Stegostoma tigrinum: one gene and its partners. The protein of the gene in region 2 purifies or fractionates together with the protein of the main gene of each other region. This does not show direct contact. Links are inferred from orthologs where the notes say so. Each region holds a gene or a part of one and is shown on either strand. Other genes may lie near its edges.

The links.
Region 1: the proteins of hdac3 (region 2) and atxn3 purify together in Homo sapiens (affinity purification with western blotting; 3 studies listed by BioGRID). This does not show direct contact. The link is inferred for Stegostoma tigrinum from reciprocal best matches to the Homo sapiens genes HDAC3 and ATXN3.
Region 3: the proteins of hdac3 (region 2) and runx1 purify together in Homo sapiens (affinity purification with western blotting; 3 studies listed by BioGRID). This does not show direct contact. The link is inferred for Stegostoma tigrinum from reciprocal best matches to the Homo sapiens genes HDAC3 and RUNX1.

What each region holds. Positions count from the first base shown.
Region 1 is NC_081363.1:27,978,720-27,989,188, reverse strand, and holds the start of atxn3 (ataxin-3), read right to left. Parts: upstream 5,037-10,469; 5' UTR 4,993-5,036; coding exon 4,969-4,992; intron 2,846-4,968; exon of another isoform or gene 2,778-2,845; intron 1-2,777. Other genes in the region: NADH dehydrogenase [ubiquinone] 1 beta subcomplex subunit 1-like, read right to left, coding at 9,986-10,022. UniProt on the Homo sapiens protein: Deubiquitinating enzyme involved in protein homeostasis maintenance, transcription, cytoskeleton regulation, myogenesis and degradation of misfolded chaperone substrates.
Region 2 is NC_081366.1:12,267,757-12,277,993, forward strand, and holds the start of hdac3 (histone deacetylase 3), read right to left. Parts: upstream 4,193-10,237; 5' UTR 4,142-4,192; coding exon 4,087-4,141; intron 1-4,086. UniProt on the Homo sapiens protein: Histone deacetylase that catalyzes the deacetylation of lysine residues on the N-terminal part of the core histones (H2A, H2B, H3 and H4), and some other non-histone substrates.
Region 3 is NC_081365.1:22,189,107-22,200,240, reverse strand, and holds the start of runx1 (runt-related transcription factor 1), read left to right. Parts: upstream 1-6,746; 5' UTR 6,747-6,907; intron 6,908-7,087; 5' UTR 7,088-7,131; coding exon 7,132-7,189; intron 7,190-11,134.

The DNA of each region.
Region 1 (10,469 bases), on a different chromosome or scaffold from region 2:
TCCATCGTAAACGGTCTACCCCAATCCTCAACTGTGACCCCTGGTTCTGGACACAGCCACCATCTGGAACATCCTCCCTGCATTTACCATGTTCAGTCATGTTAGAATTTTATAAGTCTCTGTGAGAATCCCCCCCTCATTCATCTGAAGTCCAGCAAAAACAATTGTAACCTCATCAATGTCTCCCCATACGTCCATCCCACCATCCCTAGATCAGCCTAGTAAACCTTTGCTGCTCTCTCTCTCTCTCTCTCTCTCACTCAGAGAGAGAGAGAGAGAGAGAGAGAGAGAGAGAGCAAGAGCATCCTTTCCAGAAAAGGAGGCCAAAACTGCACACAATATTCTAGGTGCGGCCTCACCAAAGTTAATAGCGTCTTAAAGAGGAAAAGTTCTGAACAGGTCTAGCAGCTCAAAATTCTGCATCCATGAACTGCTGTGGACCAATGACAACAGCAGAATTGCACTCAATTACAATCAGTTATCTATGGCCCAGGATATCACATACATGACCTTGGTTCAATGAGGCATTCAGGCAAGCATTCCAGAAACAGCACTGGGTATACTAAAAATAAGGTGTCAAGTTTATTAAAGCTGTAGGACAAGACTGCATGCATAAAAAATTGGAAAAGCAGCATATTATCTATAGAGTTAAGCAATCCCAAAATCAAAAGGTCAGATTAAAGCTCAGCAAGCCTGCCACATCCAATTCAGAGTGATGAAAGATAATAAAACAACTAACAGGAGGTGGAGACTCCACACATTCCCACCCTCAATGATGGGAAGGCCCATCAATTGGTACAAAGGCAAAACTGGAGTATGTGCAATCCTCTTCAACCAGAAATATTGAATGCATGATCTATCTTGGTCAACTCCTGACATCAACAGAATCACAAATGTCAATCTGCAGATAATTTGATTCGCTCCACATAATGTCAAGAATTGGCTGAAGACACTGAGTACAGTCAGGATATGGGTGCTGGCAGTATCTTAGCAGTGATACTGAAGTCAAGAAACGGGGTGGGGGCAATTTACTTAATGTCAAAACCAGCATCTGACAGAATGCGGCATCAAAAGGTAGAAGCGAAACTGAAGCCAATGGAAATCAGAAGATTAAACTCTCCACTGATTAGATACCCAATAAATAGAAAGCAAGATGGTGGCGTTTGAAGGAGATTAATCATTTTAGCCCTAGCACATTGCTGCAAGAAGTCCTCAGAGTAGTATCCTAGACTTAACCTTCTTTAGTGCTTCACTGACCTTTCCCTCCATCATAGGGACAAAAGTGAGAACATACACTGATGACTGCAGTGTCCTTATGACTTAAATACCGAACCAGTGCAGGCTGTATACAAAAAGGCATAGATGATATTCAACCATGGGCTAAGTGTTAAGTAATATTGACAAAAGGCAGGTGCCAGACAATTAGAATCTCCATCAAGAGAGAATCTAAACAGGATTTAGTTCCCTTACAATTTTCATGGTGCCTTTCCAGAGCTTAATCACATGTACCAAGGTACAGTTGCACAAGTCCAGACAGGCTTCTGTTAAGTTGCCAACTGGCTATTCATCCTGTTCGAATCTAAAATGCAATCACTGGTCACTAATCAGTATGGTCAACGTTACTCCAAAGCTATGCATGATCCTACACTGCCTGGATTTTTCTTTGAGACAAAGTGCAATTGTAGCCTGCCCAAGTCAAAAGTTATATTACACGTGTAATCTGTGCTTATGTTATACAAGCCCACATTATGCTATAATTACTTGGTACCACACTGTGTAGTTATTCACGGGGGCGAATCCACCAAGGACTTCTATTTCTGCACTTTAGAAGAGCGAGTGATTTGACTGAAGTTTATCTTTTCGGAGTTGTCTTGACAGGGTGAAGGTGAAAAAGACACTTACTCTCGTGAGAGAGCAAAACTAGAAGACACTTAAAATTATTAGTGGCCTTTTTAGAATAGAGATGAGGAGGTTATGTGACTTTGGAACTCGGCTTCAGAAGGCATAATCAATAAGTATCTTTAAGGTAGAGATTGATAGACTCTTGTTAGGTAAGGGAACAGATAGATTTTCAGGGCAAATGGCAATGTGGATTTCAACCAGAATCTATTGAACAAAGGAGCCATCTTAAAGAGTTAAATGGCCTACTGCTGCTAAGATGTATTTAACAAAGACATAAGTACGTATTGAATCTAAGGAGGCTGCTGAGTACTTTAGCATGTCAAGCCAAAGATGGAGTGGTTGTTTAAGCTATTTGCAGTAAAGTTCAAGTGTATGACAGCCCCAGGAGTAAGGTATCAGAGTTCGAGTTTAACTGGCGTGAATATTACATGAATGATGCTTGTATACTGTACCAGGAGTGATGGTTTGAGAACAGTGCCAGGAGTGTTCTGAGCAAGATATTAAAAGCAGCTTGGCTTCATTTTAATTTATAAAGGTGTTTTTGGGATTAATGGGATTCTAATGTGTTTAAAACCTTGCAATTTGTACCATAAGTAGTTTGGATTATTCTATCATTGTTTCTTTTTAATAAACTAGTTTGGTCAGTGAAACAAAATCTGGAGCATTATGTGCTCAAGTCTATGTCAGAGACCATGTTTCTAAAACCAAAACAAATAAAATTATGATCTATCAAGTCAGGTTCCTGTCTGGCATTCAAGTTATCCAGTAATAATATCAGCTGGGTTCATTACACAAAATAAAGCTAGCATGAAAAATCATTAAAAATCCATCTGGTTCACTCACATGTTTTATGACAGGAAATCTATCCTACTTACCCAGTCTGCGTATATGTTGCTCTGGATCAAAGCAATGTTGTGAACTTTTAATTGCTGCCTGGAATGACCTAACAAACCATAGAGTACAAGGGCAATTAGGGATGAGCAACAGATGCTGATCCCATGAAACAATATAGGAGAAAAGGACAGTCTAGACAGAGTAATTAACGAAAAATTTCTCATCTATTGAGTCTTTCAAAATGAGAAGGCACAGATTTAAGGTAACAGGCAAAAAACATGAGAAGCTTTTTCCTGTAGGTTGGGATCTGAAATGCACTGCTAAGAGTACAGTGGAGGCAAGTTCACTTGATATATTCAAGAAGGAAATGGGTTATTGTCTGAAAAGGAGGAACATATAGCTTACGGAGAAGATGAGTGTGTGGCAGAAGCGGAAGAATACAAGATTCTGTGAAGTACACAAATTTGCTTTTAAACATTAAGTTTGCTTCGACCCCCCTTTATTAAGTGCATTCCAACTTTGAACAAACTGCTGCCTAACATTCTCTTCAACAATCATCTAGTTCTTTTTCCAATTATCTTGTATATGTTTTGGTTTTGATCCTTTTGTCACCTCAGTTAGCTTTGAAAGGAAAAGTTTGTACATTCAATTCTGGGGGGTCTGAAAAAGTAGGAGAGAGTGTTTCCTCTTGGGGAGGAAGGGCAGAAGAGAAACAATGGGCTTCCCAGTTAAAACAGAGGTGAGGAATTTCTTCTCTAGGAGTGTCATTAATTTTTGCAGTTCTGTGTCACGTAGTACAGTTGAGACTAGGTCATTGAACATATTTCAGACTAAGTTGGACAGATTTGTGATCAAGAATGAGTTTAGTGGCTTTTGGGGAGGGGGGTGGCAAACGATCTACTTCTCGTTCTGATGCTCTTATACAGAATAAGAGAAAATAGGGTTCGCCAAATAAGTACAAGTATTAGTAAATAAATATACATGGCATTTTACAATACACACACATATGTAGCCAGCTTATCTGCTATATTGTTAGGTACAAGAGTCAGAATTATATAGGTCTTGCATAACTAGGCATAAATTGTAAAGTTTTAATGAGTTATTTACAGTATGTATGAACTAAAAGAATACAAATAAATAGCTGCATAATCAATGAAATTTACCACAATTATTATGAGTTAGTAATATCTTATGACATTTTATGTAGAATCAAGGCCTGTGCTGCCTTAAAAGATATAAAGTTATATGGTGAGAGATAATCAGATCAGGAATCAGTTGAAATTTAGTCCCCATTTGAACATTTTACATCATCTTTATTTTCATATTTTGACAATTCCAACACCCATATCTATATGGGAAATGTATGCAAGTTTGTCACATTGTAATCACAACCAACATTTCACTATATTGGGCATCAATTCTCCCTAGCCAATTCCCTATCAGAAACAGATGAACTTCCACACATTAGTCACCGAACAATGATCACCTATATTGAAGTAAAACTGTAAAAACATAACTTTACCAACTATTGTGAGTCAGCTGGTTGACAAATTGTGCTCTTGTATCATGCAGTAACAAGTGTTGCTCAATACTCAAGTGCTGCTGTCATTTTTGAGCCTCACACAAAGGTAATTAAAGGTGTATTACGAAAAACTCTCTCTTAAATGCTTTATGGGAATGATCAGAAATATTTTGGATCAGAAACAGGACATCAAAGACTGTTACAAACAACATATTTAAAACTTCAATAAACTAGGGGTGGGGGAGGAGAGGGGGAGGCAGCTCAGTTAGGGTGGAGAAGGGTTAAGGCCTCTCAGTCGGAGTGGGTGGGACAGAGGGTGAAAGCCCCTCAGTCGGAGTAGGTGGGGCAGAAGATGAAGGCCCCTCAGTCGGAGTGGGTAGGGCAGGGGGCGAAGACTCCTCAGTCGGAGGAAGGGGGGGTCAGGGAGTGAAGGCCCCTCAATCGGCAGGGGAAAAGGGTTGAAAGTACCCCCCCACTCGGGGAGAAGAATACTTCCTCCCCCGTCTACACCGTTTGGGAAGCTCACAGCTCCCCTTGTCCTACCCGACTCCATCCCCAACCTTAGGGAGGGGTGTGTGAACGTGTGTGTGTGTGCGTGTTTTTTTTCCCCCTTTGCAACACGACGTCGAACGCCACTGCGGCCGTTCCTCTCAGGGCCCGAGGAGCTCCCACCTCGACCATTTTAAACAGTAATTTCCGCATCAACTCACTTTCTCGTGAAATATCGCCTCCATGATGGACGATGAACCATCATCCTGTGCGGCGTGACTACACCCACTGGGGGCGGGGTCAAAGCGAGAACCAATCATCGGCCTGCTCATACGCATGCGTATAGAAACGCACAGTCGCCCTAGCAACGTAACACAGCGAGAGACGCGGGGGTGTCCCTGAGGCTGAGGCCCGGCTTGGACACAGCCGGCCTGGGTTTTAGATCTACACCGAGTGCAGTCACTTCTCTTCAGAAACCGACTAAAATGTCCGGAATTTTAGGAAATCAATGCCGATCCGGAGTTTCCTGTATCACAGTTGACGCCGGCCTGTTGCTGGCGGAAATGTACTATTGTCCCTCCTATTGTGCAGGACCAGACAGGAATGTTGTCGGAGATAATGGGAACTGCAGATGCTGGAGATTCCAAGATAATAAAATGTGAGGCTGGATGAACACAGCAGGCCCAGCAGCATTTCAGGGGCACAAAAGCTGACGTTTCGGGCCTAGCCCCTTCATCGGGTCTCGGCCCGAAACGTCAGCTTTTGTGCCCCTGAGATGCTGCTGGGCCTGCTGTGTTCATCCAGCTTCACATTTTATTATCTTGGATTCTACAACATCTGCAGTTCCCATTATCCCAAATAAATTGCAGATGCTGGAAATCTGAAAAACGAAACCCACAAAAACTGCTGGAATTTCTCAGCAGTTACGGCAGCACAGATTAGAAGTTGGGGAAGCATGAGAGTATAGAAATGTAATTCTTATCGTCGACATGGACAAGTTGGACCGAAGGGTCTGTTTCCGTGCGGAATACCTTGCATCTGCTGATCAGTTTCAGGAGTAGCTTCAGGACAGTTCTGGGGAAGGGTCATCAGACCTGAAACATTAGCTCTTTTTTTCCTTCACGGCTGCTGCCAGACCTGCTGAACTTTTCCAGCATAACCATAAGACCATAAGACATAGGAGTGGAAGTAAGGCCATTCGGCCTATCAAATCCACTCTGCCATTTAAATCATGGCTCATGGGCATTTCAACACCACTTCCCTGCACTCTCCCCGTAGCCCTTGATTCCTTCTGAGATCAAGAATTTGTCGATCTCTGCCTTGAAGGCAACAAAGTGTGGAGCTGGATGAACACAGCAAGCCAAGCAGCATCTCAGGAGGACAAAAGCTGACGTTTCAGGCCTAGACCCTTCAACTTTTCCAGCAACTTTGTGTTTCTGATTTACAGCATCCGCAGTTCTTTCATTTTTTTAAGCTTCAGGAATCGGCTTGCCTGCCTGTGCCTATACAATTGGAAACAAAGCAGTTAGTGTCTTCTGTCTGAAATTTTATTTGATTTATTGTAGTCACGTGTACCTGAGTACAGTGAAAAGCTTTGTTTGTGAGCAGCACTAGCAGATTATAGTAAGCAGGGATATACAGAACTTAGGGTGCTTAAATAGAATGAGGCATACAGGTTACACTGCGCAGGAGGATCACCTTTTTGAAGTTAGAAAGTCCATTCATCAGTCTAATAATAGCAGGGAAGAAACCGTTCTTGAACCTGTTCGTACGTGTGTGGAGATTCCAAGATAATAAAATGTGAGGCTGGATGAACACAGCAGGCCCAGCAGCATCTCAGGGGCACAAAAGCTGACGTTTCGGGCCTAGACCCTTCATCGGGTCTCGGCCCGAAACGTCAGCTTTTGTGCCCCTGAGATGCTGCTGGGCCTGCTGTGTTCATCCAGCCTCACATTTTATTATCTTGGATTCTACAACATCTGCAGTTCCCATTATCCCAAATAAATTGCAGATGCTGGAAATCTGAAAAACAAAACCCACAAAAACTGCTGGAATTTCTCAGCAGTTACGGCAGCACAGATTAGAAGTTGGGGAAGCATGAGAGTATAGAAATGTAATTCTTATCGTCGACATGGACAAGTTGGACCGAAGGGTCTGTTTCCGTGCGGAATACCTTGCATCTGCTGATCAGTTTCAGGAGTAGCTTCCCTGTTGCCTTGAAGGCAACAAAGTGTGGAGCTGGATGAACACAGCAAGCCAAGCAGCATCTCAGGAGGGGGGCACAAGCTTCTGTATCTTCTGCTCAGAAGAGGTTGTATGAGAGCATTACCGGGGTGGGAGACATTTTGTTGATCTTGGCAGCCTTTCCACAGCAGCAAGAAGTGTAAATGGAGTCCATTAATAGAAGGTTGGCATCCATGATGGTCTGGCTGTGCACACAACCTTCTGTAGTTTCTTGTGGTCCTGGCAGAGCATTTGCCATACCAGGCCGTAATGTACCTGTTATTATGCTTTGTGTGGCGCATCTGTGAAAGTTGGTGAGGGACCTTGTGGACATGCTAAATTTCCTAAGCTGTCTGAGCAAGAATCTTTGTTGCGCCTTCTTGACCATCTATGTGGAAAGTTCAGGACGGGTTGTTGGTTATTGTCATTCCTAGGAACTTGATGCTTTCAATCTCTGCTCCCTTTATTATAGATGGGGACATGTTCATAGTTCTCAAGTGGCATTGAGAGATAGATTGGAAGATCTCCAATCATGGTTTTCAGCATCTTATAGATGCAGTGATCTGGGGCTTCTAGGATGTTTGGCTGTCACCAGAATAATGCACATTAGACTGGGATCACAATTACAAGGGCAGATTTGAAGGACAGTGGTTGGATTTGCACGTATGTAATTTTGTTGTTTGTACATGGCATCATTTTCCAGTCCCTTTGGATGCCAGTAGCACATGAGATTATGTTGCAGTGGATGTGGGCATTGATGGTTGGGCCAGCATCTATTGCCTATCCTTAGATGCCCTTGAGAATGTGGAAGTGAGGCACTTTGAATGGTTCCAGTACATTTTGTTTGGGTAGATCCACAATGCCATTAGGAAGGGAGTTGCAGAATTTTGACTCTGTGACATTGGAATAGCAATATATTTCCAAATTAGGGGCACTTGCAGTTGGTGATGTTATCTGCTAGGTGGGTGCTTGGAAGGTGCTATCTAAAGAGCCTTATGAATTTATGCAGTGTACCTTGTAGCTACTAGTGGGAGTGAATGTTTTAGGTGTGGTACCAGTAAAGTAGCTGCTTTGCCCCAAATTACGTCAAACTTCTTCAATATTGTTGCAGCTGCACCTATCCAGACAAGTGGGAAGTATTTTCCGTTGCATTTCTGACTTCTGCCATGTGAGTCAGGTGAGTTACTCACTGCAGGATTCCTAGCCTCTGAATAAGAAGGACTTTGAATGTCAAGGGACGATGGTTAGGTTCTCTCTTGCTGTGGATGGTCATTGTATGGTACTTGTGTGGCATGAACGTTCCTTGCCACTTGTTAGCCTAGTTACTGGCATCCGGACATGAACCAAAAACAATGATTTTTAAGAAATTAACAACACAGGATTTTAGGTGTAAGTCATGATTCAGTGGTAGTACTTTGCCTCTGAGTCAGACAATTTAATTTAAATCTAGTTATATGAACATAAATCTAGACTGACACTCCACTGCTACATGGATAGAGTGTAAACTTTGGTTAGAATAGCAGGCTCAAAGGGTTGAGTGGTCTACAATTGTTCCTTATTTGTATGAAAAGCAGGGACATTTTCCCACTATCCTGGCTATATTTATCCCATAACCAACATCAATAAAACCAAAATATGTAATTATCACACAGCTGTTTGTTGGACTTTCTAATTCAGGACAATGATTTTCAGTCTGGGGTTTGTGGAAACTTAACAGGTAATCTGTGAAATAATCTTTCAAATGAACAAGCAACAAAAACACAAGGTGGAAAAGAAAAGGAATAAAAAGGCAAGCCACCAGTTTTGTATAAATTATAGGTAGTCAATGTTCAATCCACACAAATAGCAGATGCCTGCTGTTGAGTAACATGGCCTTCTTCACAATGATGGGCACATCACTGCGAAGGGGATGAAAAGGAAGGTGGGAAACAAGCAGTTCATGGATGTCATACCAGGGTGCACTCAATTCAGATGTATAAATTGATTGTGTGCTATTATAATCACCTTCTGCTGTCATTTCAAATTAAATTGTTTGAATACTTGCCAACAATCTTATTAAGCCACTGAAATACTGCAGTTCCACTCCAAGATTTACAAAGTCCTCAGTCAAGTTCAGTAGGATTATTAAGAGCTCATAATTTGAAATAATCTAATGAAGTATCATTCTCCACTACACATTGATGTTGATGCTGATTCCTGGCTCATAGACCTGATGTACGGACTGCTGAAATAGTAGTGGGCTGTCAGCTGCTGCAGGCCCAGAGCACAGACTCTATTGGCAACAGCAGGTCATTGACTGTGGCAGTGTCAGCCCCACCGAGTGGTGGCTACTGGCTGTGGTAGGCCCAAAGCAGGGACCTTGCAGAAGTCCTGCAGCTGTGTTTGGGACTATGGTTGATAAAGATGAATTCTATTTCGTACTTTTTATTCTTCTGTACCTCCAAATGGCACCAGATTGTGGTGACAGAACACTTTTCACTGTATCTCCCTAGACATATGTGACTTTAAATCATTCATTCAAATATGTTGATCACTTGGAATTGATGACACTTGTATTTTTGCTTTGTCAATTCTCAGGGCAACAGAATGGAAAGATGATCATTCGACACAAATCCATGTCCTACCATTCCTCACTTAACATTTTACAACTTCAAAATTGTAATGTCGAAAAAAGGTTCAAATAAAAATAAATACAATAAGTTTTATTAAGTCTGCCATACCATTTGTATATATCCAGGTTAATGAAACAAATAATGAACTATCTGCTGTTCATTTTTAAACTTTACACTCCAGTGATACAAAGGGGACAATCTTGGGCAAATTTTAGGACTTTAAATTAGTTTTCTGTTACACAGAGATATGCAGATTGAGATAGGTGAAAATGTACTAAAACAAAACAGCATTACTTGAATTAACTTTCACCGGATCCCTAATTGAAGATTCAAGACAAAAACCGCATTTGGGCTGATTTTTATGCAGTATGGTTGCTTGTTTCACAGTCCTGCTTTGAGGTCTTCACTTCCATGTTGTTTCTTCTCCTGGTTTCAGTTCCCTGAAAAGAATGAGAATGTGATTAATTAAAATATACAAAACTTCAATTAGGATTCTTGTGGTGTGTCATAACCTGCTCTAGAGGTGTGTCATAACATGTCGGAACAAGTTGATTGAAATATCTACTCATCAAACTTTTTGGGAGCGCATATGGCACTCTGGTGGTGTCCTTACCATTGAGCCAGGATATCTGGGTTCAAGTCTCATGCTCCACTATGTTGTTGTAACATATCTGCCCAGATTGATTAAAAAGATCTATAACTACAGAAGTTACTAAATAGATATTCAACTTTATCACAATCTGTTTCTTCACTACTAAATTAAAGCAGAAATTCGTTTATAGCTTTTGACTCGAATATTCTGATTCCAGAAAATGCTGCAGCTGCCTACTAGCAATTCATTCCATCATTTCCATGTGCATTATCATACATTTTACAAACATTTAGAT
Region 2 (10,237 bases):
AGACACATCAAAATAAAGCAAATCCCTTCTGCTTGCCCTTGGTCCATATCCCTCCACTCCTTGCATATTCATGTGCTTACCTAAAAGTCCCTTAAATGCCCTTATCGTGTCTGCCTCAACCACTACCCCTGGCAGTGCACTCCACTCTCCTACCAGTCTCTGTGTAAAAAATGTGCTCATGTCTCCTTTGAACATTCCTCCCTCACTTAAATGCATACCCCCTAATATTAGACATTTCAACTCTGGGAAAAAGATTCTGACTGTCGATCCTATCTAACCATCTCATAATTTTATAAACTTCTACCAAGCCTTCCCTCAGCCTCCACTGCTCAAGAGAAAACAACGCGAGTTTTTCTAGCCTCTATTTATAGCTCATACCCTCTAATCTAAGCAGCATCACGACAAACCTCTTCTGCACCCTTTCCAAAGCCACCTAAAGGCTACCGAGTTGTCAGTCAGCATCTGACATTCAATGCGTATGAAGCCTTTCAGGAAGCTATTTACAAATCATGTTTTCCCTAGTTACAGGAATTCTTGGAAAATCAGGTTTTACATTAGGTTTCCATTGGGAACATAGGATTAGGAATAGGCAATTCTGCTCTGCCGTTCAATTAGATCAAAGTTCACTATCTACCTCAAAGCTAATTTTCTATTTATTTTGGTGAATGTACAACAATATGTGAGGTTTATTTCTAATAAATAGCCAAAAATTTCCTATTATAGGCACTTAGTTAAAAATTTGATAGCGTTAACGTACATGTCATCCTTGATATTTTTGCTAGATTATCTATACCTTCAAAGAAGAAAACACAAACTCAAAAGGCAATATTACTTCTTGACAACATTGTTAAAATGGAGTTTGATACAATGACAAATAGCTCTGTGAATCAACACTGGCCTTGAGAAAATCTCAAAAAAAACCCTCGATAAAAATTTTAACACTTTCACCTAGACGTAGAAAATGTAACCCATGTAATCGTGCCTAAGCAAGATAATGCAAGGGATTTTGGTAAAGGCAAGAAGTTTAAAAACTGTGGGGGAGCTAAAAAGTCTCTATCAATATCGTCCTCAATTTCTCATTTTCCCAACTTCTGTAACTCACTACTACTATACTAAATATCATCCAGCATTTTGTTAAAATTCATTCATACAATATGCCCCAACAGCAAGGTATTTATTGTCCATCTCTGACTGAGCTGCAGAAGATGCTGCTGACCCTCCTTCTTGAATGACTTGCCTTGATTTGACAACTTTAGGGCCAACTACACTGAAGTTACATATACCATGGTACAGGCAAGGATGGCAGACCTTCTTCTCTAAAGGAGATCCTGAACCTAATACATTCACACCTTTCCAGCAATTTCTAATCACTATTACTGACATGAAGTGTTAAATAAATTAATTAAAATTCTAAGCTGCTGAGGTAGGGATTTGAGATCTTCCCTCTGGTTCATAAATCCACATCCCTGAATTACTGGCACCATCACGTTTGGGTAACCCTCATGTCATTTCTCCTGTCTCAGTGCAGCACTTGTACACTTAATAACCACTAAGTCATATATCTCCAACATTGTATCGAAGAATGGCCACTTATAAATGTGTCAATGTTCCCCATGTCTCGATATGTTCCCCTTTCTCTATAACTAACTGCTCGTAACCCCATTGGCACCTTCCAGCCACTGATCCACTCAGTAACCACCTCTCCACATAGCTCAGTTCACTGAATCACCTCAGTTATCATAATACATTTCGGTATGTTTCAATTCACCATTCATTTTCTCCCATGGAGAGAGTCTCTATAAACCCCCTTGGTCTCCCTTTTGATAGCCCAATGTGTCCCCTCCCCCAGTCTGTATGTCCGTCTTGATTCATCCTCCTCCACCGTCCCTACGTGCTCCCACTCTCTCGTTCCACCCCTCACCCCACCGTCCCTACGTGCTCCCACTCTCTCGTTCCACCCCTCACCCCACCGTCCCTACGTGCTCCCACTCTCTCGTTCCACCCCTCACCCCACCGTCCCTACGTGCTCCCACTCTCTCGTTCCAACCCTCACCCCACCGTCCCTACGTGCTCCCACTCTCTCGTTCCACCCCTCACCCCACCGTCCCTACGTGCTCCCACTCTCTCGTTCCACCCCTCACCCCACCGTCCCTTCGTGCTCCCACTCTCTCGTTCCACCCCTCACCCCACCGTCCCTACGTGCTCCCACTCTCTCGTTCCACCCCTCACCCCACCGTCCCTACGTGCTCCCACTCTCTCGTTCCACCCCTCACCCCACCGTCCCTACGTGCTCCCACTCTCTCGTTCCACCCCTCAACCCACCGTCCCTACGTGCTCCCACTCTCTCGTTCCACCCCTCACCCCCCCCACCGTCCCTACGTGCTCCCACTCTCTCGTTCCACCCCTCACCCCACCGTCCCTACGTGCTCCCACTCTCGTTCCACCCCTCACCCCACCGTCCCTACGTGCTCCCACTCTCGTTCCACCCCTCACCCCACCGTCCCTACGTGCTCCCACTCTCTCGTTCAACCCTCACCCCACCGTCCCTTCGTGCTCCCACTCTCTCGTTCCACCCCTCACCCCACCGTCCCTACGTGCTCCCACTCTCGTTCCACCCCTCACCCCACCGTCCCTACGTGCTCCCACTCTCTCGTTCCACCCCTCACCCCACCGTCCCTTCGTGCTCCCACTCTCTCGTTCCACCCCTCACCCCACCGTCCCTACGTGCTCCCACTCTCGTTCCACCCCTCACACCCCCGTCTCCTTTCACCCCTTACGCCCCTGTCCCAATGTGCGCCCCTGCCCATTTCACCCCTCACGCCCCCTCCCGTCTCCCCCCGGGTCCCCACGTGCCGCCTCCCGTCACGCCCCCTCCCCCCGGGTCCCCACGCGCCCCTCCCGTCTCGCCCCCTCCCCCCAGGGTCCCCACGCGCCCCTCCCGTCTCGCCCCCTCCCCCCAGGTCCCCACGCGCCCCCTCCTATCTCGCTGCCTTCCGTCTCGCCCCCTCCCCCCCCCAGTCCCCACACGCACCCTCCCGTCTCCCCCAGTCCCCACCCGCTCCCTCCCGTCTCGCCCCCTCCCCCCCCAGTCCCCACACGCCCCCTCCCCCCCCAGTCCCCACACGCCCCCTCCCCCCCCCAGTCCCCACACGCCCCCTCCCCCCCCCAGTCCCCACACGCCCCCACCCGTCTCGCCCCCTCCCCCCCCAGTCCCCACACGCCCCCACCCCCCCAGTCCCCACACGCCCGCACCCCCCCCAGTCCCCACACGCCCCCTCCCGTCTCGCCCCCTCCCCCCCCAGTCCCCACACGCCCCCTCCCGTCTCGCCCCCTCCCCCCCCAGTCCCCACACGCCCCCACCCCCCCCAGTCCCCACACGCCCCCACCCCCCCCCAGTCCCCACACGCCCCCTCCCGTCTCGCCCCCTCCCCCCCCAGTCCCCACACGCCCCCTCCCCCCCAGTCCCCACACGCCCCCTCCCGTCTCGCCCCCTCCCCCCCGAGTCCCCACACGCCCCCTCCCCCCCCAGTCCCCACACGCCCCCTCCCGTCTCGCCCCCTCCCCCCCCAGTCCCCACACGCCCCCACCCCCCCGCCCCCTCCCCCCCCAGTCCCCACACGCCCCCACCCCCCCCAGTCCCCACACGCCCCCACCCCCCCCAGTCCCCACACGCCCCCTCCCGTCTCGCCCCCTCCCCCCCCAGTCCCCACACGCCCCCTCCCCCCCCCAGTCCCCACACGCCCCCTCCCCCCCCCAGTCCCCACACGCCCCCTCTCCCCCCCCAGTCCCCACACGCCCCCTCCCCCCCCAGTCCCCACACGCCCCCTCCCGTCTCGCCCCCTCCCCCCCCCAGTCCCCACACGCCCCCTCCCCCCCCCAGTCCCCACACGCCCCCTCCCCCCCCCAGTCCCCTCTCGCCCCCTCCCCCCCCCAGTCCCCACACGCCCCCTCCCCCCCCAGTCCCCACACGCCCCCTCCCCCAGTCCCTACATATGGCCCCTCTTGCTTCACCCGCTCCCTAGTTCTCTGTACCCGAACCCCATTCCCACTCTCCACCCTGTGTCCCAAAGTTACCCCCTCACTGACCGTAATGGAAGTTGCCCACATCTGGGTCATAAAAGTAAGAGACCTTCCGGGACATGGCGCGCCGGCCAGCCGCCCAGATTGCCACCCGCGCACGCACGTACTGTGTCACCACGCCATGCGTCTGACGCAGGCCGGCGCGGCGCTCGCTCCGACGAGGGGGCGGGGTCAGAATTGACGGGCGGTTTCCGTGGTTACAGCGCCGCGTCTCCCATGGCAACAGGGAGGCGACAGTGTTCAAGGAATTTGGGAACTGCAGATGCTGGAGAATTCCAAGATAATAAAATGTGAGGCTGGATGAACACAGCAGGTCAAGCAGCATCTCAGGGTTCTAGGGTCGGGTTCAGTCCCAGGGCGAACAAGGGATTGTGCTAACGTTGTGGTCAAGGCAAAGGGCAGTGCAAAGGTTAAGAGTCAAATAAAAGGGCAATGCAAAGGTTAAGGGCAATACAAAGTTTAGAGGTCAATATGAGAATTCCCTGGAAGAGCCCAGGCCAAGTTTAGGGTCAAAGTTACATTCAGAGTACATTAATGTCTGGATGTATGGCTCAACTCTACATACCTGTCTTCTGCCCGTTTCCCTTAATATCTTTGCTTAACAAATATGTATCAAATCAGATTTAAAATGAACAACTGATCCAGTATCCATTGCCATTTGTGATATGGAGTTCTGAGCCTCTACCACTCTTTGTGTGTAGAACTGATTCCTAATATCTGTCCTTAACGGCCTGGTCTTAATTTTTTAGATTGTGCCCCCTAGTTCTAGAATCCCCAACCATTAGTAATAGTTTATCTTTACCTACCCTGTCTTTAACTGTTAATATCTTAAAGACTTCAGTTAGATAACTCCTTAATATTATAAAACCGAAAGAACAGTGGATGCTCTAAATCAGGAACAAAAACAAAGTTGCTGGAAAAGCTCAGCAGGTCTGGCAACATTTGTGAAGGAATAAACAGAGTTAACGTTTCAGGTCCAGTGACCCTTGCTTTTCCAGCAACTTTGTTTTAACTCCTTAACATGCTTCAGCTCTCCTATCAACACAGTACGTACCTCCTTAATGACATCAGTTCAACGAGGCAGCTACCCACCTTCTTGAGGGTAAATGGGATTGGGCAATAATTCTTACATCTCATGGGTTAATAACACTCCTCGCTTCGCATGGTGTACAGTTCAATAAGGTAGATTGCCATCACTTTTTCTCGGAGCATTTAGGGATGGAACAAATGTCAATCTTACTGAGCATGTCCAAATCCCATTGACAAATGTTATTAACCTCAGGATGTAAGGGGCATTGAATCTAATTCGAGTAACCTGAGCGAAGCTGGCTTGGTATAGTAGGAGAATCAGGAAATGGAGAAAATACAGAGAAACCTTTTTCCTCTGGCAAGGGTGGTGTGAGATGTGAACAAAGTAGTATAACCTTAAAATTAGAGGTAGGGCACTCAGGGAAGAAGTGTTTCTTCACACTAAAGGAAGAAATCTGCAATCTCTTGACTACTAAGCTCAACTGAGGCTGAGGAAATTGAAGATTGCAAAACTGATTTTTGTTAGAGAGGATATTAATTGTCATGGTACTAAGTCAGATAGACAGTGTTTACAAGTTAGATCAAAAAATATGTTACTGAATAATGCTAAAGGTTTGAGAGGCTAAATGATCTTATCCCGTCCAAGTGGCTTGTTGAGATATTTCAGTACCATGCCAGCTCACAAACATTGATATATGTAGTGAAGTATCCCTGGGTCCCTCATAACAGCACGAATCAGATGCAGCATAACATTGAGACATGAATGCAGATATTGGGAAAGATGAACAGAAGTATTGCTGCAAAATTAGATCTTAAGGAGCCTCTTGAAGGAGGACAGAGGTTAAATTATTAATTCTAAGGAGAAGGGCATTGCTGGCTAGGTCAACATTTATTGCCCACTCCTACTTGCCCAGAGGGAAGTTGAGAGTCATGCACATTGCTATGGGTCTGGAGACACATGTAGTCCTGACCAGGTAAGGATGGCAGTTTCCTTCCTTAAAGAACATTAGTGAACCAGATGAGTTTCGCTGACAATCGGCAATGGTTTCGCAGTAATCATTGAACGTCTATTTTCAGATTTTTATTGAATTCAAATTCCACCATCTCCCACGGTGTGATTTGAACCCAGGAATATTACCTGTGTCTCTGGTTTAACAGCCCAGGAACACTACCACAAAGCTGCCACCTCTCCATAAAGGTTATTGGATAGAAAGATTACAGAGGGAATTTTAAGCGAAGGCAGGTGTAACAATTAAGATCTGGGATGTGTAAAGGGCCAGATACAGAAGTCTGCGGGAGAGTATGGCCTGTCACAGAGCTTTGAGTGGGATTTGGACTGTGTGGAGGCTTTTGCTGGCCCTCTGGTTAGAATAGAGTCAGGCTCATGCCTTGTGTCAGAAGCTCCAATTACAACATTTACAAGGCATCTGGATGAGTACGTGAATAGGAATGGTTTAGAGGGACATGGGCCAAATACTGGCAAATGGAACTAGATTAATTGAGGATATCTGCTCAGCATAGACGGTTAGAGTGAAGGGTCTGCTTCCATGGGGGACGATATTGCATGATTTGCAATCACTGCCGTTCAGAATCCAGTGGATCAACTTGCATGCTTCTGGCCAAAGACATTCAGGTACCGAACTATACAGGTATCCTCAGGCCCTTGCATTGCAATGCTGATATGCATTGGAACACCTATCTCCTGTAGGTGATACAGGTAAGCAGTGCGTGAGGGAGAGTCGTCCGTCTCAGCTCTACTGCAGCAGCGGAATGAGTGTTGAAAAATCCCACTGTTCTGAGGCAGGAGAGTGAACAGGCTGAAGGTCACGGTGATACTGCAGCATGGCAGTGAGTGACGAATGGGTCCAACCAATGCCGCACGGAGGTGCCTAGAGCGGCGACTTCTAGATGTAGCACATGGAAATGAATGACCGAAAGATCAAAGTTGGAATTGCGATGGAACAGAACGCTGAGAGAAGGAAGAGGGAGCAGAGCGGGACCAGAGAGGCGAGCAGATGCTTGCATCACTCTGCACACTCTCTTTACGTTCCTTTCTGCTGCCTAACCTTAACCGGAGGACAACCGATATCCTTCAACATGACCTGCTCAGATTCGCTGCGATGGTGCTGACGCAGTTGGACGAATCTACCCCTGCAATTTAACCCATTCAGGAGGCAAGTAACAGAATTGTGAGGGAGAACTGGCTTAATTAAGATGCAGTGGGTATGTGATACCAAGTTTGGGCTTTTAATACGTGGAGCTTGTCGGAGGTGGGACTGACGGAGTAAACAGATGTACATTTTTAGAATCCCAGAGCCAACGAGATGCAATGATATTTGACCTCAACGTGAGAAGGCAGAGTAAACACAACAGGATTTAGGTCCTCGGGATCCTGTAAGGTTGGTGCTATTGCAAAGATTCATTGAATGACCTGAGCTTAAATGAAGAGAGGCTGAATCTAATTTCAGTGTATTGCAGTGAACAGTTTGTATCTATGTGTTGGTTCGAAAGCTTTCTACGTGCTGTATGCTTTATTACTTCGAAATGATTCACAAATATCTCGTGTCATTTCCCACCCCCCCCCGCCAGGAATTTGCCGTGCTTGTGTAAGGTAGATTCACGGCCCTTCCCGATAGCCATTTAAACTGGTGGCACACTGTTGTAAATTATAAATGTGCTTACTGAGATGAGAGGGAGATGAGTGTCAGTAGCGGATCAGTTTCGCTGCTGAGATCAAACGCGCGCCGGTCAGGCTCAGCAATAAATGGAACCGGTTCCCATAAAGCGAAGTTGCCTGAATCAGTTTTGTTAAATGTCTTCCTTATCTTGGGTTATAATTTCTGTTCGTTTACAAAACAAAACAGAAATAGCCCGAGATAATGGGAACTGCAGATGCTGGAGAATTCCAAGATAATAAACATAGCCTGAGTTTATTTAGCATCTTTTATCCCACCAGGACTTCCCAAAGCACTTTCACTCAGTGAAATACTTTTGAAGTGTTGTACAGGTCACAGACCTTCGACGGTGTGAAAATGACTAGATTTTTTTATTTGAATCCGTTTTGATAGTTTGATGCTATTTGCATCTAATTGAGGTAGATGGGCCTTTCATTTTCGAATCATATGCAAAGTATACCTCGTCTAACATGCTGTGTACCCTCAGAACTAACATGAAGCACTCCCGCAGAGCCGACCTTTCAGTAGTATAACACTCTCTAAGATCTGATATTCCAATAGCGGATTACTCCCACAATGTGACCTTACAATGCTGTTGTGCTCCCCAGCATTGTTCCTTCGAAACGCATTGCTCCCTGACTACTGCCTCTCTGACAGTGTAGCACTCCTTCAGTACTGCCCCTCTGAGAGAGCAGCACTCTCAGCATTGGTCCTCTGACAGTGCAGCTTTCCCTCAGCTCTGCACCTGCAACACTGCAGGATTTCTTCAGCACTGCCCCTCCAAAAGTGCAGCTTTCGCTCAGCACTGCCCCTCCAAACTAACTCACGTTTTTGTTTTAGAATGCTATGTTCATTTCTGAGAACCACACCTTAGTGAGGATATATGAGCCTTGGAGAAGGTGCAGTGCTCAGTTCACCAGACTGATGGTGTTGAGAAACATATCAGCCATGTTTGAATGGTAGAGCAGGCTTGATGGACTGAATGGCCTAGTTCGGCTCCTATATCATATATCTTATGATATCAGGCTAAACGAGTTACACTTTAGGGGCAGGTTACATAGGACAGCTGGCAAAATCCAAAAGAACTACGGATGCTGTAAATCAGGAAAGAAAACAGAAATTGCTGGAAAATCTCAGCAGGTCTGGCAGCATCTGTGAAAAGAAATCAAAGTCATCATTTCGGGTCAAGTGACTCTTCCTCAGAACAGAGGAAGGCTGGCTGGTGTTCTGTTATATGTACAAGATTAAGGAGTGATCTAGTTGCAGTGTTTAAGATTATTAAAGATTAAAGGTAGAACTCAGAAATAGGAAGGATGCAGTAACAATGTTGGGGCTGTACTACAGGCCTCCCAACAGCGAGCGTGAGATAGAGGTACAAATATGTAAATAGATAATGGAAAGGTGTAGGAGAAACAGGGTGGTGGTGATGGGAGGGTTTAATTTTCCCAACATTGACTGGGATTCACTCAGTGTTAGGGGTCAAGACGGAGCAGAATTTGTAAGGTGTGTCCAGGAGGGTTTTCTAGAGCAGTATGTATGTAGTCCAACTCGGGAAAGGGCCATACTGGACCTGGTGCTGGGGAATGAACCCGGCCAGGTGGTTGATATTACAGTAGGGGACTACTTTGGAAATAGCGACCACAATTCCGTAAGTTTTACAATACTCATGGACAAGGATAGGAGTGGTCCTAAAGGAAGAGTACTAAACTGGGGGAAGGTCGACTATACCAAGATTCATCAGGATCTGGGGATGTAGATTGGGAGAAACTGTTTGAAGGTAAATCCACATTTGATATGTGGGAGGCTTTTAAGGAGAGGTTGATTAGTGTGCAGGAGAGACATGTTCCTGTGAAAATGAGGACTGGAAAAGGCAAGATTAGGGAGCCATGGATGACAGGTGAAATTGTGAGACTAGCCAAGAGAAAAAAGGAAGAATACATGAGGTCTAGGTGACTGAAGACAGACGAAGCTTTGCAAGAATATCGGAAATGTAGGGCGAATCTGAAAAAAGGGACTAAGAGGGCTAAGAGAGGACATGAGATATTGCTGGCAAACATGGTTAAGGAAAATCCCAAAGCCTTTTATTCATATATAAAGAGCAAGAGGGTAACTAGAGAAAGGATTAGCCCACTTAAGGACAAAGAAGGAAAGTTATGCGCTGATTCAGAGAAAATGGGTGACATTCTTAACGAGTACTTTGCATCGGTATTCACCAAGGAGAGGGACATGACGGATGTTGAGGTTAGGGATAGATGTTTGCTTACTCTAGGTGAAGTTGACATACGGAAGGAGGAAGTGTTAGGTATCCTAAAAGACATTAAGGTGGACAAGTCCCCAGGTCCGGATGGGATCTACCCCAGGGGTCTGAGGGAAGCGACAGAGAAATAGCTGGGGCCCTAACAGATATCTTTGCAGTGTCCTTAGACACGGGTGAGGTCCCAGAGGACTGGAGA
Region 3 (11,134 bases), on a different chromosome or scaffold from region 2:
GAAGGTTTATCAGGCTGATTCCGGTCAGAGCAGACTGATGCATGAGAAGAGATTGACTAGGTTGGGATTGTTTTTGCTGGAGTTCAGACAAATTGTTGCCTGGGGGATTCTCATGGAGACTAATAAAATTCTAACAGGACTAGACAGGGTAGATGCAGGGATGATATTCCCGATGGTGGGTGTGTCCAGAACCAGGGGTCACAGTCTGAGGATTCGGGGTAGACCATTTAGGACACAGGTGAGGAAACACTTCTTCACCCAAAGAGTGGTGAGCCTGTGGAATTCATTACCACAGGAAGTAGTTGAATGTGCTCAAGAGGTGCCTAGATATAGCACCTGGGGCGAATGGGATCAAAGATTATGGGGAGAAAGCATGATGAGGCTATTGAGATGGACATTCAGCCATGATTGTGAAGAATTGTGAAGGCTCAAAGGGCTGAATGGCTTCCTCCTGTTCCTATCTTCTATGCTTCTATTGTAGTCCTTTCTTTTGACTAGCAGCATCCTAAATGAGCAACAAACATCCTAGCCAAACATTAAATATTCATTATCATTCCATCAATTTCCACAGCTACCATCACCACACATCCTCACCCCCTCACAGCTCAATTCCATTCTCCCAGATTTTTCATCCCTGTCTCATCTCTTTTTATAATTCAATCTTCCACAATGGTGCTTCCTGCGTACCTTCTTTTATCTCAACTCAGGATCCCACCACCGGTCAATGTGGGGAGGTAAAATGCAGACTGAGTGACCACTTTGCACAGCACTGGCATTCTGTCCGCAAAAATGACACCAAGCTTCCAGTTGCCTGCCACTTCAACACATCACTGTGTTCCTGCACCAGTATCTTTTACTTGGGCCTGCTCAGTGCTCCAGTGAAACTCAGCGCATGCTCAAAAAAAAATCTCACTTTCCGCCTGGGGATCCTGCAGCCTCAAGGACTCAACATTGAGTTCAATTACTTTAGAACCTGATTCTGTTCTTTTAAATTCAATCCCCACACCCAGTCCTGTTATGACATATATTGATTTCAGCTCAGTCATCCATTCTCACATACTCCTAGGTCCATTAGCACAGAGATAGTAAGAACTGCTGATGCTGGAGTTTGACATAAGGCGGTGTGTAGCTGGATGAGCACAGCAGGCCAGGCAGCTTTCGAGGAGCAGGAAGGAGTTCATTTCTGAAGAAAGATCCCGACCCAAAAAGTTAGCTTTCCTGCTCCTCGAATGCTGTGTTCATCCAGCTACACACTGCGTTCTAGCACTTTACATGGATTGCTTTCGGCACAGCTCACCCACTCTCTCCTACTCTTAGCTCTGATTGTCACTGATTCAGCTTTTCTTCTGACCTTTTCTGCTTTCCATTATCTCCTTCTTTACCTACCCTTTTATATCTCTATCTATCAGGGCTCCATTTCCACCTATCCACTCACCTGTAGCCTTCCCTGCTCCCTACCCTAAAGTCAGATTCAGCATAAATACCACCTTTCCCTAGCTTCTAACATTTCTGATGAAGTCACTAGACTCGAAATGTTAACTCTACTTTCTCCTCACAGACACTGCCAGATCTGCTGAGCTTTGCCACCAATTTGTTTTCATTTCAGATCTCCAGCATCCACAGTTCTTTGTTCTATCCCCTGGATGAATGTTTTGCTGTTCTCTATAACCATTACCACCTAGTTTGCATTTTGTTCTATGATACCTCGGCTTCTTAATCCTCCCTTCCCTTTTCAGCAGTAGACAACCCATCCCATTTTTACCTATCCTTGGTTCGTACAGGATCAAGAAGAATTTTTAAAAAACATATTATCAAAATGGTGGGATTGCAAAGCTCTGAGATGCAGTGGGATCTGGGTATTCCAGTGCATGGATAGCAAAATATAGTTTGAAGATACAACAAGTAATTCAGAAAGTTAATCCAATGTTACCATTTATTGTGAAGGGTACTGAATGCAAATGTGGGGAAGTTATGCTTTAGTTTTACTGGGAATTGGTGAGCTCATTTCTAGAGCATTGTGCACAGCACTGGTTTCCTTATATAAGGGAGAATATAAATGCAACAAATGTATACTAGACTGGAATGGGCAAATTGTCTTATGAAGGAAAGTTGCACAGACTAGGATTGTGTCCACTGGAATGTAGTTATTAAGAGATATGGGTCACAGGAGTGTATATGGAGTTAGGTCATCGATCAGGCATGACCTCATTGAATGGCGGTACAGTCTTGAGGGACCAAGTGACCTACTCCTGTTCCCATATTCCTACCTTGCTCTCCAGGAGAGTACAAGGTGACATTACTGAAATATATAAGATCCTGAGGGGTCATGACAGGGTGCACATGGAAAGAATGTTCTTCTTGTAGGAGCATCTAGAATTAGGCGATTCAAGATAAAGGAAGCACAGATTTAAGATAGAGTTGAGGGGAGGGTTTTATTTTTCTCTTCGAGATTTGGGAGGTTTTAGGATTAGCTTTATGAAAAGGTGGTGGAAGCAATGTCTCTGAATAGTTTGAAGGAGGAGGTGCATAGATTCTTGGCAAGCAGGTAAGTGGAAGATTATCAGGAGTGGGTGCGAATATGGAGAAAACTTATTAGATGATAGAATAGGCTGGAGAGGGCAAATGGCCTACTTCTGATGCTAACTCACATTTTATATATTATATTGGACTTGAAACATTAACTCCGCTTTTCTGTCTCTCTCTACAAATGTTGCAAGACCTGCTGAGGCTTTCCATCACTTTTTTTAAAATTTGAGATCTCAAGCATTCCCAGTATTTGTTTTTATGTTAACTCTTGTCTTACTACCCTATTGCACCAACCGCTTTGGGGTTAAGGCTAGTTTGAATTTTGCCTTCTGTGTGTTAGCTGATCAGCACCCTGGTTGCCGGGAAGTGCTCCACATTAGTTTAGGCTAGGAATTAGCCAATGTAGGAGGTTAGGTGAGACTACGATCAGCTGTCTAAGAGTCTCTTGGCACACTCTGTCAAACCTTGAGGTGTACATGCCATACAATCGCCTAGTTACTAGAAATTGGAACAACACAGTTCCTGCAAAGTGTGCCAACACCAGAGAGCGGGATTGAAAAAAATGGATTGAAATCATTCATATTATTACTGTGATCTCAAAAAAGAAAATCAATGTAGAATCATGTGCAACCTTTTCATCTGATTCTCCTTGGGAAAATACATCTGATATTTCACTTTCCACTAAACTTCACAAAGATGTATCTCCAAAAGATTACTAATCTGAATTTGAAACTGAAGTCAAATTTTGGTTTCCTCAGTGATTCAGCTTTTGAAGGATAATGTTCAGATAACTACAAGCTCTAACTTATGGCTCTAACCACTCAGCTTAAAGCCTGAAAATGTATTCCTGCTAATTCTTGTAGGCAGCAATGGCTAAAAAAATACAATCAGCGTCATAGGACATGACTGTATAACAAATAAAGAGTTTAATAATGTAATTAATACTGATGAATAAATAGTAGTTGAAAATATCAAAAGCTTTTTTGGTTCATATCTACTGTACTGATTCCAACTAAATGGATAAGGTACACAATATTATTATTACATCTTCCTGCATTTAAGACTCAACTATATAATTAACGTCAATGTGAATGGTTTCTAAAACTCCTACAAACAAACATAATTCGACATCATCTCAAATGGAGTTCATTTTAAAAAAAGCCTGCATTTCTGTTGCAATAAAATTGACATTTCAAAATTCCTGGTGATAAAATTAATTTTGTGTGGCTAACTGGTTAAGCCCATAACTAAAAAGGATTATTTCATACTCTCATGGCATTTTGCCCCTCCTGCTGGTGCTAAGTTTTGTTTTAGAGTAGCTTCACGCATTAGTAATCAGTTATACAGAGCCTTGTATAGCTACAAGCTGACTCAAAGCACTTTAGAACCAACTAAACACTTTTTTGATAAACACAAAGAGGTGCAGATGATGGAAATCTGAAACAAAAACAGAGTGCTGGAGAAACACAGCAGATCCGGTAGAATCTGTAGAGAGAATACAGAGGTAACATTTTGAGTTTGGCAATCCTTCATTAGAACTCAAGTACATTTCTGTTTTGTCCTTTGTTCTCATGTTAAAAAACATGGAAACAAACTTGGATGCAGCAAGCTCACACAAACAATAATTGATCAAGTAAACATTTTAAAAACCCTGTTGCTTAAGGGATACATACTGGTCATACACGAGAAAACTTCTGCTCCAACTCAATTAATCCATGGGATCCTTAAACATCAACTGAACAGGCAGACGGGGACTTGGCGCTTCTGAAAGATACATGTCTATTTAGATTTTGTGGTGATATTTGAACCTAAGAGCTTACAGGCTCAGAGATGGCAGTGCTCTGAGGCATACAGTACACCAGGGGTGGAAATATCTCACCCAATTTCCCTTCATTTTCAATCAGTGAATACCAGTGGGCTCAGACACCATGGCAGACAAGATCAATTCTCTGTCCTCTCCAGACGTCACCATTGCTGCATCCTCTAACAGGGATACATATTAAACATTGATTGTTCTCCCATGCTGACCCAGAGCCATTTACTTCAATCCTAGAACCTTAGCTCCTATCTCAGTTGAATTTCATCAACAGGGTATTAATGAAGCAAAGAATGTGTTCAAGGTGTAATAATGAGCCATAGAATACCTGTGACCCACTGGTCTATGGTGGAGGGCAGGCTGCTCTTGTTCTGGAATATCTTAAAATATATCGATAGGACCAAAGAAATTTGAATGGTTGCACACAGCTTGGCTGTTAATGACTGATATTTAACTCGGAAAGCTTCTTCAGAGCTCGATTCCTGTTCTTGGCTTCCTCACATTGCTTCCACGTGCATTTTTAACATCTCTACACATCGATTGATGTCAAAGAGCCAGCAGACCTCCGTAGATGCATCCTCTTGTGGAAAGGAGCCATGAGCTGGGCTGGGAACAATTAACAGCGATAGGATGAGGGAAGGGAGGGGGTTGGTGGGTGGAATCTTGCTCTTTGACTAACACAGCCTTGCCAATGGCTATGCCTGAACATCACTCAAGAAGAAAGGAGAGACAAACACCCCTATTTTGTTCCGCCCTCTTTGCTTTCATTTTTTTCGAATATAACATCAAATGATTCTGAATACTGTGGCACCAATTGCATGGAAATGAGCACCAGGCTTCGCGAAGCATAATAGCCTGGAAGTACAAGGAAGAATTCATAATGTACATCTCTCACACATGGTGAAGTTATTTGCCGACATACATCCACACCATCACACTAACGGACTACAATTTCTTTGTTGAAAGATACAGCTTGTCACCAGAGGTTGAAGATTTAATTTTTTTTTAATTGGTAAATTTCATCTATGTGTAGGAACACACAAAGAAAAAGTTAGCAGCAGATGGATCAGTTAAATTGCAATGTGGTTAACTGCAAAGGAAATTCAAAACTTTGTTCACAGAATACTTGCAGTGAGCCAGCTGCTGTACACCCAGGCACACTCCAACCTAACAATTAGTAGTCCCAATCACTTGCATTGTCCGCTCGAAAAAAAGGCAACGTAAGCCAGTAATAAGCAGACGACACATAGAATAATGTGCCACTTACCAATGGAGAATAAATTCGTTGACTTGCCTTTCAAATCCTTGGACTGCAATTAGAACATAAAGGCACTAATGTATTTCTTTTAGGAAATAACTGCTCGGAATAGGACCTTGTGAAAAGTGCTGCGACAGTTACTGGCGATACTGAGTACAAGGTGAGTCCCTAAATTCTCTATAACTTGCAGAATCACTTTATTTAGCTAAGTACTTTTTTTGATATCAGGTATCCTATTCGGAAATTGCCTCTGATTTCATCAATTAGTAGCAATCTGATATATAAGTGCTCCCGGTTAAGTGTTTTAAAGTTCAATTTCTTTTTCCCCTATTTGTTTTCCTACTCTCAGGGAGGGCTGATTCCACAGGTGCCAAGTCGGTAGCTCTCCATGCCGTTGCTTCAGCGCCCACTCTTCATACAGGCGCTGAACATCAGCAGAAAGTTCAGCAGTGGACGGGCATTAGAGACGGTCCTGATTGCCTCATTTCATGGACACCCTCATACACTTCAAGCAAGATCTGGGCAGGATGCAGTAGGAGTATTGAGCAGCGTGCAAATGTCACCTAGGATTTTCACTTCAAGGTTATTAAAAGTTAAAATTTAGAATTGGAGATGTCCATATTCCAATAATATTAGAAAAATTGTTCATTCTTCTACGAAGATTGAGGGGAAGAAATAATCGCAAAGGCACCAAATGTACCGCCAAAAATGTATACCACACTCTGAACATAATTAAACCAAAATCATAATGTTATCGTAACACTTCCAAGTGAGAAATTCTTTTCTTTTCGATAACTATGATAAAAAATTAGCAATAGAATTCATTTCTTTAAAACTGTATTATTTTCAGCAGTACAAAAATTGAAAGCCGCAGTGAAATATTACTGATGGTTTAAAACAGCTCCATTACTCTTAAAGCAACACAGGCTCTGTTGTACAGGATCATATCGTTCTATTTGCATAATAAGCAAAAAGGGACTGTGAGTCAGTTTTGCAAACTCTAGCCTCTGCTATTTCCTGACTGAGCTAAGGGGAGGGCAGGTGGGGCGGGAAGGGCATGCTACAATGAGAAAAAAAGCGACATCACTTGGGGCACATGATCAACGGCAGCCAATTAGGTTGAATTATCAAAGGGGAACAGTTAAATTTGTAATTTAGGTTGTGTGAAACTCTTTGGGCCTCATAAACAACCACAGAACCACAAGTTGGGTGCAGACCAGTCACACAACAGTGGGTCCGGGATATTGGTCAGCACACAGCAACTCATTCTGATTTAAACCACAGAGTGCCAAGCATTTCGTACAGTGGTAAGCATCATCTAACCACAACCAATCCACTATTTTTACATTTCAGACCTCAAAAAAGTACCTTATCGTGTTGTTTGCAGCACTGCAGAAGCTCTGTGATAAGGTAAAAGGAAATTGCCAAAGATGAACGGTACGGTGGAGAGTGCGACTCTTAAATTCTGTTGGTTTTCCTTTGAAAAGGTGGGAGACCTGTGCAACCAGTTAGGACGGCTTCACGGGACACCATGGCTTCGAACAGCATATTCGAGTCATTTCCTTCATATCAACAGTGCTTCATGCGAGGTGAGTACCCCTGTTTAAAATGATTCACTCCGGTGCATGTTGAGAAATAGTCCTCCAACATTAGATACAAGAAAGATGCTGTTGCTTTTGTGGCTGCACGATGAGTACTTACTGAGTTCATAGCTGATGCAGAAAAAGGTTTATTTTTAAGCATTTCATTTTAGTTGGCAATTATCTCCAGTTCAATAAACACTCTGCTGAGGACAGAGAAGTGGCTCAGAAACTGAAACACGTCTGTCATGAGCAGCTTTTCTCACAATATGATATGACTCTTGTCTGATGGATTCGTTGAAGAAAGTGTGTACTCTTTAGGGCTGACTGAAGAAACACTGGAGTCTTTAGTAAAGTCGTTTTGAAAACACAGAATTAGTCACCCTTGACTGTGAGGAAACAGAAGTACGAGATATATGTTCAGAAGCTTATGTCATTTTGAGTCACTAACAGTCGTCAGAATCAGGCTGCTTTTCTTTCAATGTTTTTGAAAAAGAATGACTACAATGAAGTGAGAGAGACTGATAAATGCATGAGCAACACCCTTGAAACAAAGATTGATAACTCTCTTTCTAAACTGTTGCTCAATTGTACATAGCATGTCACTGTTTTCAGTACAATCTGCACCTTAAGCGAGAAATTTGTACCATCGACTCATGGTGGTTGGATGATTTATGCATTCCTGCATCATCATTCAGCTCCGTCGAATGGCCACAGTCCCAGTGTAAACTTGCTAACAGCTCCCTTGGCTCACTAAACAACTGTTTCCTCAGTGCTGTTAACAGCCAGAGGAAACAATATTCACCAAATAATGAGAAGGACCTTCCTGCATTCAGTTTGCTTTTATTTCATGTTTTGTTTCCAACCCGTGGCCACAGGAAAACTTATTGAGGAAATTTTTACGAGTTAGATAAGGTAATAAAGAGCAATGTATAAATAATCCTTTTTCACTGATACAGAATGCAGGCAGCTGAGGCATAGGCTGCTGAACAGTTAAGGGTATTAGTTAAGACGCCATTTTTAGCCCATCACATCGGGTGAAAGAGTAAGAAGAGGAGAGACCTTGAAGCAGGCAGACCACCAGACCACCATTGGTCTGTCCAATTGATGGCTAAAACAAAAGAAGGGCAATTGCCACATGCAAACCAGACAGGTATTCAATAGAACTTGAATAGACATGAGGAGGAGAGTCTTTTTAAATATGTGTATAATAAAGCCGTAAATTTGGAAAGGAAATCAGCTTATTTAATCTGCTTGTACTTGAGATAAATTTGTTTTTGTTATTTTGGCTTGGCTTCCTCTTTTTCCCTTGCCTGTGCATTGAACTCTGGTCAGCCTTGAGATATGAGGCAAAAACAGAATGCCTCCTGGACACATGCAAGTTAGATAAATAATCATGTCTGTGGGCAAATTGTTTCTGGTGCACTTTTCTCCTGGCTATTTGCATAGCCCGGTCTTTGCAAACGTTCCCGGCGCCGCTCTCTCCATCTTTTGCAACAACACTGCTGAAATTTATTGCCCTCGCTCTGCTAACAAACCCCGAATGGTCAGCTGTGGGGAAATAACAAGTGGTTCTCGTCCCATATATTTCACTTTATCAGTCCTTGCAGTTCTCTCAGAAGGAAATCCATAACTCTTGTAGCACGATACCCATGTTAAAAATGAGAAGGAGAGAAAAAAAAAGCAATTGTTCTATTCTAAGAAAACACTGGAAGAAAGCTGACGCATGAATTGAGTGTGGTACACCACAAAGGATATGGGTCTTTTCTATCATACCACACCAGGCTCTCCCTTCTGCTCTCCTACAAGGAAACTGCTGAAGTCGCACCTTCCAATGAAACATTGCGCCCCAAGAGGATGGATGTTTTCAGTTTACAGTGAGTTTAAACATTAATCCTGGTAGAGAATATAAGCGCAGTTTCATTGTTCTGGTAATATATCACTCAATGGTACATTGTGTTCCAGCAAACCTTGCGCTGTGCACTGGTAATCTTTTCATTTTGCATTCACGATCTAACTATCAAAGGATTGCAGGGTTGTGGGAGGTGAGGTAGAATAAAAGAGAGACTTGTTTTAACATTGTGCTCTTCCTGAATGCAGAAAATCTCAAGGTGCTTCAAAGCCAATAAAAACTATTGAGGTGTTGTCTATGATGTGGTGTAGATAATGCGGCAGTCAATTTCCACACAGCAAGCTCCCACAATACACAGCAAGCAATATTATACTGTTCCGGTAATCTGTTATTGTGATGTTCATTGAAAGGTACATACTAGCCAGGGTATCAGGGAGAACTCTGCTGCTTCCCTGAAAAATAGGGCCAAGGGATCTTTTTGATCCACTGAGTGTAAAGAGAGCCTTGGTCTCATTCAGAAGATGATGCACATGCTGCACCTTTTCCTGATTCTTGTGCTCAAAAATTTACCAAAAAAGTAGAGTTGCTACCAATAGTATTAAGGCCTTACTCTGACTCTCTTCACTGATGAGTTTGGCTTACATTCTAAATTTTGTTAAATATTGTTGACATTACATTCATTATATTTCACTGCATCACTAGATAATGCATAAGCAAAGGCATTGTTAGTTAAGTATCTACAAAATGAGCAGGACAGTGGCTCTGTGGTTAGCACTGCTGCTTCACAGTGCCACGCACCAGGGTTCCATTCCACCCCGAGGTGGCACTCTGTGTGAGGTTCTACTCAGATCTGTGTGGGTTTCCTTCGGGTGCTCTGGTTTCCTGTCACAGTCCAAAGATGTGCAGGCTAGGTGGATTGACCATGGGAAATATGCGATTACAGGGCAGGGGGAATGGGTCTGGATGAGATGTCCTTTTGGAGGTTCAGTGTTGATTTGATGGGCTGAATGCCCTGCTTCCACACTGTAGTGAATCCATGAATGAGGCATTTCACAATGCCTGGCACTACAAATCTGTTGCATGAGTCAAGACTGGAAGGGATATGCTGAATGAATATTAGACATTGCCTGGTTTGATATCAAGTATACTCACTGACTACCACAGGAAGGCACAATTCCACAGCATAAACATCACTTGAACTTGGTTCTCATCTTGGTTTCTTTTGATGAATTAAGACAAGTACTGCTCTGAAAGACTGGGAACAAGAGGCTGTTAAATCCCAATTTATCCATATGAAAAATATTAAAATAGAAAAAGAAAATTTCTAGATTGTTTCCTTATTCCTCATCATTGGCAACATTACTGCGATCATCCATGCAATATTTACTCAAGAAACATTGAATATCCTCCTATAATAAATTGTTATCCACTAGGAAATGCATTTTGCGCACATGTATTGAAGCAAATGGGTAATAAAGGATTCTAAGGTAAATAGAATGTTTGAAATAAATATTTTAAAGTTGAGAAGAACTTTCATTTACATAGCACCTTTTGCATTCTCACACTATCCCAAAATGTGTTACAGTCAACCAGGTCCTTGTGAAATATGCCCACTGTTGAAAATACTGCAGCCACTTGATTTACAAGAAGGCAGCAGTGAGTTATATCATCAGGATATGTAGCTTTAGGTGTTAGTTGAGGGGTAAATGTTCACCAGGACACAAGTCAACCTTTGTTCCAAATATAAAATTTATAACATACATTAAGTGGAACATCTGATCACCTTTGAGGTCTGTTCATTTTGTTTCTCAACCATTTACCACTGGGTGGCATGGTGGCTCGGTTAGCACTGCTGCCTCACAGCACCAAGGACCCACCTTTGATTCCACCCTGAAGCCGCTGTCTGTGTGGAGTTTGCACATTCTCCCCATGTCTGTGTGGGTTTTCTCCAGCTGCTCCAGTCACCTCCCACAGTCTAAAGATGTGCAGATTAGTTGGATTGGCCATGCTAAATTGCCCATCGTGTCTAGGGATGTGCAGGCTAAGTGGATTAGCTATGGGAAATGCAGGGTTAATGGGCAGGGAGGTGGGTCTGGGTGGGA